Kluyveromyces lactis: one gene and its partner. The protein of the gene in region 1 interacts with the protein of each later gene in a pairwise test. Links are inferred from orthologs where the notes say so. Each region holds a gene or a part of one and is shown on either strand. Other genes may lie near its edges.

Evidence for each region.
Region 2: the proteins of ECM5 (region 1) and SNT2 interact in binary tests that used the Saccharomyces cerevisiae proteins (3 or more experiments, as listed by UniProt). The link is inferred for Kluyveromyces lactis from reciprocal best matches to the Saccharomyces cerevisiae genes ECM5 and SNT2.

Annotation. Positions count from the first base shown.
Region 1 is NC_006039.1:1,415,667-1,420,169, reverse strand, and holds the start of ECM5 (Ecm5p), read left to right. Parts: upstream 1-1,636; coding exon 1,637-4,503. Other genes in the region: KLLA0_C16225g (uncharacterized protein), read left to right, coding at 1-184. UniProt on the Saccharomyces cerevisiae protein: May be involved in cell wall organization and biogenesis.
Region 2 is NC_006038.1:193,096-197,378, forward strand, and holds the start of SNT2 (DNA-binding E3 ubiquitin-protein ligase SNT2), read right to left. Parts: upstream 2,871-4,283; coding exon 1-2,870. Other genes in the region: CEG1 (mRNA guanylyltransferase), read left to right, coding at 3,246-4,283. UniProt on the Saccharomyces cerevisiae protein: Transcriptional regulator that, together with ECM5, recruits histone deacetylase RPD3 to a small number of promoters of stress-response genes in response to oxidative stress.

The DNA of each region.
Region 1 (4,503 bases):
GGGCTCTCGTCAACAACAAGGTGGACTAGGTAGCCAAGGTCTCTCTGGTCAGAAAGCTGGAAATGCCCATATTCCTGGCACACCTTCTGGTGCAAGAACTGAAGACTACACTTCCAGAACTAATCCCGGTTCTGGGGCAACCGGTGGTCAAAGAAACAACCAGTTCTCTAATGATAACTGGTAAATTAGAAATGACGAAATGATTTGAAAAGTTTATATTCACCAACACATTTCAGTTTAAAATGCTGTTTTATGATGCAGTCTGCTCTCATTTTGAATCTAAAATGTTATTGCCTTAACGACGAGTTTTTTTCTTAACAGCATGGTTGGATTGTTGAACAATGTAACCATGCAGTTCTCGCTGCTTTTTTTTTTTTTTATCTCCAGCGATTCCTTTCAAGGGATAAGGTCTCAAAGTTCCTTGTAGTTCGTTTTTATTTTATATCTATTATTTTAAATATACATCATGACTTGACTGATTTTATATTAAAGTAATGAAATATTGTCTATACTAGGGCTCACTTCCTCAGCTGCTGAACATTAATTGCCAAACTGAAGCAGTTTTGACAATATCATTGTAATTTCTGGATTTTCCAACGCACATGTGATTGTTGTTCATTGCGATCCTGTGGTTCTGTACTGTTATTATGGGTATCACTAGTTGAAAAATGGAAATACCTTGCGGTATAGTCAGGCAGTGCTAATAATCTTCTCATAGTGTCTGCGAAATTGTATATTCTAGTTTCCTCATTGTTTTCGGACTCTGTCACTCCATGAAATTCTGTCATATCTTACAGGACCATATGCTTACTAAGGATTGATCAAACCACGACAACAACTCCACACAGCTGAAATTTGTATAATGATTCTTTTCCGCGCGAGGAAAATGCATCATGCTCACTTATATACTTCTATTCTTACCTAGCACATTGTGTCTTTTTGACGTTTTCGGTGTCGATACTTAAGAAACTGACGTTCCTTGCTTATAGAAAACAAGAAATGGCATGCAAACGATTTGAAGCTTGCATATAAAGGGCCTATGATAATCTCACAAGCTCCTATATCCGGTTTGAATTTTGTTTAAAGACCGTGACTAGTACAGTTCGGAGTTGCAGGAGAAATGACCCGTCACACAAGTTAAAACCTTAAAATTTGGAAACGGTAAATTGTACTTTTGCTAAGTGTACAATTGTTTGCACAATATTCAGAAGGATAAGCAGAGCATGCTACATATTTAATTTATAACTACTATAATCCTTCTATATGCTAAAAAGACCATCGAAACTTAGCCTGCCAGAAATGTGCAACTCCCGTAAGGTTTTAAGCCTATGTGGAGGTTGTGAACGACATCATTTCTTCCTAAATTAGTCATTATACAAGCGTCATCTCATTATCTCATATATCGAAAAGTCTTTTATACCACGTGATATCAATGTTAATTTCGACAACATGAATTGGCGCTACAATACGAAGCGAAATTTGAGGATGAGGTGAAACATAACATCAAGAACTTTCAGTTATTGGCCATAGTAAGATAGTGTTTCGCTTGACCTTCTCAACCAATGGGAATCCAAATCGATTTTGTACAAAGACTAGGATTTTGCAACAAATTGAAACGATTTACTTCCTCTTAGTCATGGAGCATAAACAGATTTCCTCACTGCCAAGTAATTCTGTTTCGTTATTATTGAATCCAGCTCAAACGACCATATCGTACGCCAATGACGAAAGAAAACACGTAATAGATAAGGGAGAAACCTCCAGTCATTCTACCACTTCTAAAAATAAGTTTACTACCAATTCAGTCGCAGAAGCGCTGATACCGAAAATCCCAGTGCCCGACCAGTTTGAAAACAACCATTCCAAGACGACTCTTCCGAGGAAAGTTATAGACGGTCAATCAGCCTCTACTTCTTTCACACAAAATAACAACTCTCACAACCCATATTTGTATACGCAACACAGGACGAGATCTAATGCACCTTTCGATCCACTCCAAATTCATTGTGGAAAGGTTATCAATAATGCCAGGGTTGTGAGTGAGGGTACCATATCAGGAATTCATTATACAGTTCAAGAGGGATCGATCCCTACTATCACGGTCAAGGGAAACACGGATGATTTTCCCACGCCATTTGAACTTTATAGAATAATGGAACCACTTGGCAAACAATTCGGTGCTGTCAAGATTGACTTTAATCATTGTGATAACTCACCCTTCAATGCCTTTAATTTGGACACAGAGAACTTTTGGTTCAAGCCTAGAAAGCAGCATACAAACTCATATGATGTAGAACTACAGAAAAGACTCAAGCTCCACCATGATTTATACTGCTTTCATAAGGGAAAAAAAGATATAAAGGGAAATCCAACACTAGGCAAAATTCCAAGTATAGACAAGAGGACGTTAGATTTACACAGGCTACGATCCTGTGTTCAACTGAGAGGGGGCTTCGACACTGTTTGCCAAAAAAAGTTATGGGCCCAAATAGGAAGAGAACTTGGATACTCAGGAAGGATTATGAGCTCTTTATCAACGTCTTTAAGATCTGCCTACCTTAAAGTGTTTTCTGAATTTGATGCTTATGAAAGACAACATAAGCAAGCAGCAAGCCACCAGGTGATAAGCAGTGATATGTCCATACAACAAAACAGCTTTTACAATACTATGAAAAGAACTCTAGAAGAAGATCATCGTGATGCCCTCAATCCTAACCAACAGACAGGTCCACCTGTAAAGATAGCACATATTGAAAATAGAATAAACAATGAGTTCGGTGGTTCCGGTAAGGAGTATTTTAGAATGAGAGATATACTAGATGCAAAAGGGTTTACGACTAGATTTGGATCTGTCACTGAGCAGAAAGTTGGATTGACAGATGCCAATGAGTCTACACTACCTGGTTACAATTTTAGTCTATGGAACAATCAACTAGAGATATATGACAAATCTATGTACGAGTGGAAGAACTCGCCTATCTACAATTTGAGACAATATCACGAGAAAGCTGAACGACATCGTGAAATTGTCAATTCAACAGTAGAGGAATTATTTCCACACCTTTCTCATGTTGGAAAAGAAATATCACTACTTGATTTTGAAAGGCTGTATTATACAATTTTGAAAGAGGAGTCCTTGTCATTCGATGTTGATACAGGGATAGATTTGCCTACGATAGTGCATGGAAGCACTTTCTCAACATCGAAGATGGCGAGTTCCGACGAAACGAAACGTCTTATAGATGCCTGGAATTTAAATACAATAAACCTTTCTGAAAAATCCCTCCTTCAATACCAAGATCTCGATTTTGGAAACCTGGCAGGTGGTAAAATTGATGTAGGCATGATGCTCTCTACTTCTGGTTGGGCTCTAGAAGACGAATTCTTACCCTTACTTGATTTTTCCTATTTGGGATCATCGAAAGTATGGTATTTTGTCCCTCCTCAGTATCGAAATTCTCTTGAGGCCCTTTTTGATGATATACGTAATAAAAAAGAAGTGAAATCTTCTGATCAGTTTGAAGCGGACTTCACTGAGTCAGATTTCTTTCAGAGCTTTCAAGAAACTAACTTTTTGGATCAACATAAAACTTCTCGCAAAAGAAGCATTAATCATATGTTTCTGAAAAATTTAGTCCAAGATAAGCATAATTCTTATACACCCAATGACTTTCAAATCTCAACTTCTGAACTCTCAGCTTCTCATATCAGATATTTCAAAGTTATTCAAGATCCGAAGACATTTATTATGAAATATCCACAAGTCTATTCAACTTCAATTAGTTCAGGATTTCAAATATCAGAAAAATCTTTGTTTGCCCCTGAAGAATGGGTGAACAATATTCCCGACGCTGAATTATGGAGAGCTGAGAATAAACTTCTACCCTCTATTCTTCCCTTCCAGTTTTTTGTTAATATCGTTGAAAGCTCGAATGATAGAGATCTCTTAAAAAGAGTTACGCCATTGTTGATGAATCTAATTAAGGATGAATTGCATTTTAGATCTTTAGTGCCACATCATATACCCCGTGTCTCTAATAAATTCGATCCAATATCTGACATAGATCTTTCTCCCTGTGGTGGGTCAAAGATTGTTATTGCTAATGATTTCGATTGTGTGACCATTTCAGTCAAACAATTCCTCGAGCTGGAAAAGAAACTTATCGATCTAGGGGACTCAAAAGTTGAGCTGCATGAGTATTATTCAGAATCTTATTTAAAAGGACTGATTTCAAGATTTAGCAACGAGAACCTACAAACACAAACTGCCACGGATCGTGAACCGTCATTGTTAAGAAGGATAGAATCACTGAAAGCTGAAACCAATAATGACTCTAAAATTACCTTTAATGAGTTGAACAGATTACTATTGACTTGTGAAGATGGGAACAACGAAGAATACCTGCCATTGAAGGAGGTTATCAAAGAATCTCAAAGAATCATGAATGAATGCCAAGATATACTAGAAAGAGCAGAGGTGTTTAAATCAGAGAAATTTCATCT
Region 2 (4,283 bases), on another chromosome or scaffold:
GCAACAGTAGGCGTTTCAAATTCTATGTTTATCGAGAACTCACCATTTGGCATCAGTTTTCTTATGACTGACGGACTGGCATATGGAACTATTTGTTGTTTCACTTGTATTTCAGTTATCTGTGGTTTGTTTTCAGTTACAAGCACCTGTGCTTGTTTGGTTGTAATGGCAGATTTTGAAGATTTCTTCATATGTGCCTCGGATATTAGCTGTTCTTGTAACGCTCTTTCCTTTTGTCTCTTGAATTTAATCTCTTCTTTCCTCTTGATCTGAGCCTCTATGCGAGAAATGTAGCCCATGAGACTTTCTTCAAGGTTCACTGGTTTGATTGAATTCAAATCTATTAACTTTTTAACAGATTTATTCATTTGTGCTTGAGAAGATAAAGTGTTTCTCTTCATTTTTAATAGCTTTTCGGGATTATCTGTCGCTGCGTAGCGCTGTTTAGTGATTGATTCCGTATCTATCACTAGTTCCCAGTCCAGATTTTTTGAAAAGGCCTGATTAGTGGAACAACAAATTGCCTGTTCGTCATTATCCTCCAGTAAGTCCTTTATCGCACCCTGGACCGATGAAGAACTACTACCATAAAGTTGTCTTAAAACATCGATAGGAGATGACCATCTAATACCGTAACGCCTCCACATCCTTGCACATCTTATACAAAGGGCATTCAGTTTCTCATTATCTTTTTCAACCTGTTTGGCTTTCTCGCTATCACTACCTGAAACTTTTTCATTTACTCCGGTCGTAAGTCTTCTATGAATGTGATCATCCTCTGACCCACCAGTAACCCTATACCATAATGGTGAATAATCTAAAGAACAAAACATGCATTGGAAGCATTTTTTTACATCTGATATTTGTTCAGAGTCAAAAGAAGAGTCATCAATGTGTTTCAAAAGTTGTGTCGATTGTGCTTTCTTTTTCGGTATCCTTTTAGAATTTTTATCACCTTTATCGGAACTAGACTTCTTGTTAGTTGAATCATCAATACTTTGCTTCTTTCTGTTCTTCGCTCTGCCCTTAAAATTTCCCCAGATTCTTCTCCCATTCGGAGTCTTTTTCCAGTAATAATAATAGCGAACAATCATTGACATTGATTGCGTTCCAACATGCTTACAAACAGGGTGTAATTCGCTTCCATATAAACTAACCCCCTCTTCGAATTTCTTAATTTCTTCTTGTGATAATGTTGGCTCCTTCAACGATTCTCTAGTTATAATCTCGGTTGCTTTAAGGAAAGAAATTTCGGAGTTATAATCATTTTGCATTAATAGCTTGAGGATTATGTCGATGAAGTTACAAGCTTCTGGTTGAACTTCGAGATTGCCAGGAATTGTACTCTTACACCTTTTAACATATTCGTCTAATTCGCTCTCTGCCATTTTTTCATTATTAACAATCCAAAGGCCTTCCACAGAAGCAGAAGTCCCTCGTTCTCCAGGTTTATTGCTGTACGGATCTTCCACCCATTGTTGATTACAATTACTCCATTGGCCCTTTTGTAAACTTACTCTACTTTTTTTCCATGGGAATGGTGCGATATAGTCGTCAAATAATGGATCACCTAAATGATTGCACATGTCTTCTCCCAGATACTGGAACCACCAATTTTCTCTGTTTGTATTGAAATCTCTGATAGAAGCCAAACTTTCTGTTAGCCTTTCAACCGAACTTTCTATTCCTTCCCATTCTTTGTCCCTCGTGATGTGCTCTTGGTTGTTCTGCTTTCCGACACAATTTGAACAAATCCAAACCACACCTTTTGCCGGCTTCTTTTCTAAGGGCGGGTCCATGCACCACAGATGAATCGATATCTTACAGTCATCACACTTGATAGAAGACGATTGGTGGCACCAATCGCGACATTCGCCGCAACGCAAATCCCAGCTTTGGTCTTCGGTTCTTTTGCCACAGACATATTTGGTAAGTAGGTTATCCAGTGGGAATTTATCCTCATAGAAAATGAATGGGAATTTACTAGTTAAAATCTTGAAATACGGTAGATCAGAAGCAACTCGCACAGCCATCTGATCTGTTTTTTCCATTTGGTAATACTTTAGTGTATATCTATCGAAAAGTTGGTTGAAGTAGAAACAATTGGGTCTTGAGACGTATTCTGTTAGCTGATCAATTGAGGTAAATTCTTTTTGAAATTTGACATTACATTTACCACGGAATGAGTAAATTGGGCAAACATCATTATGAAGTGAAGCGTATAGCATTCTGGAGCTTGTACTATTTGTTCTTTCCTGGATATCTCTGGGTCTATAGTACCAATTCATTTTTAACTGAAAATAAATCGCAGGGAAACTAGTTGCCAAGTGTAATGAACGCGATATGAGTGAACGAAACTCCTTTTTCGGCACAAACTCAACTATCCTACCAATATAGTAGGGTTCTCCAGGTGGTTCTGATACCATAAATATGTGCTCATCTTTTTTCAAGACAGCCGATCCGTCAGATAGTAGCAATTGCTTAGAAACGTCAACGGTCATCTCATCGATATCCAACATGGTACTGAACCTTGCGTATTTCTTGAATGAGTTAGGTAGAGAAGGAATGAAATTCCACGGCGTGTTCTTGTCTTGCAAGAACGACTGATACTTGAAACTACTCTTCTGTGACTTCTTTCCATTGTTCGCCTTCTTCTGAATGCCATTCTTCTTTATAGTTTCACCCTTTTCAGACTTCTGTTTCGAAGAGTTCGCCTTCTCTAATTGTTTAATCTTCTTCGCCAACGCAATGTCGGCTTCCTTCTCATTATAACTCACATTCTTGGTCGCAGTTCGCCTACGACTTGTGTACTCATTGCCATTTGAAATTATTATCTCATCTGGCGAATTTTGTCCTGAGACGACAGTCATCACTAGCCGGAAGTAAGCTGATGCAAATTGCTGTTAAATATCACAAGTGAATATCAATTCTTCAAATGCAACACTTTTGCTAGCAACTCCGGATGTATCCTGTATTCCCTTTTGCACTATTTCTCTCTTGGTATGTTGTTGCTCCTCCTCATATTGAATCCATATTCATATCCTGCATATAGCGTTTTTATATACATCTTTCGATATTGAAAATAATTGGAAAGCATTTTACAATTACTGAACCAGATGAAAATACGTAATAAGGTAAACAGCAATAGATTAAGGCAGCCTGAACTTAATGAACCAAGGCAATTGATATTGCATACGTGTGTTTTGACTGTCCTTTTTTTTGCCTAAGTTTATAACTTAATTGCCATGGACAATAACAGAGTTGCACCAGAGATTCCTGGTCTAAGACAACCCGGACAAATTACTAATGATATTCGAATGTTGATGTGTAAGCTACTCAATTCAGCGAAACCCGCTAATACCTTTCCGGGCTCTCAACCTGTTTCTTTCCATCTGGCTGATATTGAGGAGAAGTTACTTGCGCAAGACTATTACGTATGTGAAAAGACAGATGGATTGCGTGCGTTAATGTTGATAATGGTGAATCCAGTTACAAAAGAGCAAGGGTGTTTTATGATTGACCGTGAAAACAACTACTATATGGTCAATGGATTTAGATTTCCATGTTTGCCCCGTGCCAATAAAAAAGAACTCCTAGAGACTTTGCAGGACGGTACGTTAATTGATGGTGAACTTGTCATGCAAACTAATCCAGTGACCAAGTTGAAGGAACTGAGGTACTTGATGTTCGACTGCCTTGCGGTAAATGGTCGTTCGTTAGTTCAATCGCCTACAAGTTCCCGTTTGGCTCATCTTGGCAAAGAGTTTTTCAAACCTTATTACGATTTAAGATCGTATTTTCCAGATAGATGTTCCACTTTCCCATTCAAAATTTCAATGAAACATATGAATTTCAGTTATGATTTGGCAAAAGTTGCAAAGACCTTGGATTCACTTCCACACGTATCTGATGGTCTAATTTTCACTCCAGTACAAGCGGCATATCATATTGGTGGTAAAGATAGCTACCTTTTGAAATGGAAACCAGAAGTAGAAAATACTGTGGATTTCAAACTGATCATTGAACCTCCTGTAGTAGAAGACAAATCTTTACCTAAAAGCGATAAAAACAGGTTTTACTACAATTACGATGTTAAGCCACTTTTCCATTTGTACGTTTGGCAAGGTGGTAATGACGTGAACAATAGAATACAGGACTTCGAACAACCCTTTACTAAGAGTGATTTGGAGCTTTTGGAGAGAACCTATAGAAAATTTGCAGAAATAGAAATCGACGACAAACAATGGAATGAGCTCAAGGCCATGGAGGAGCCATTGAACGGA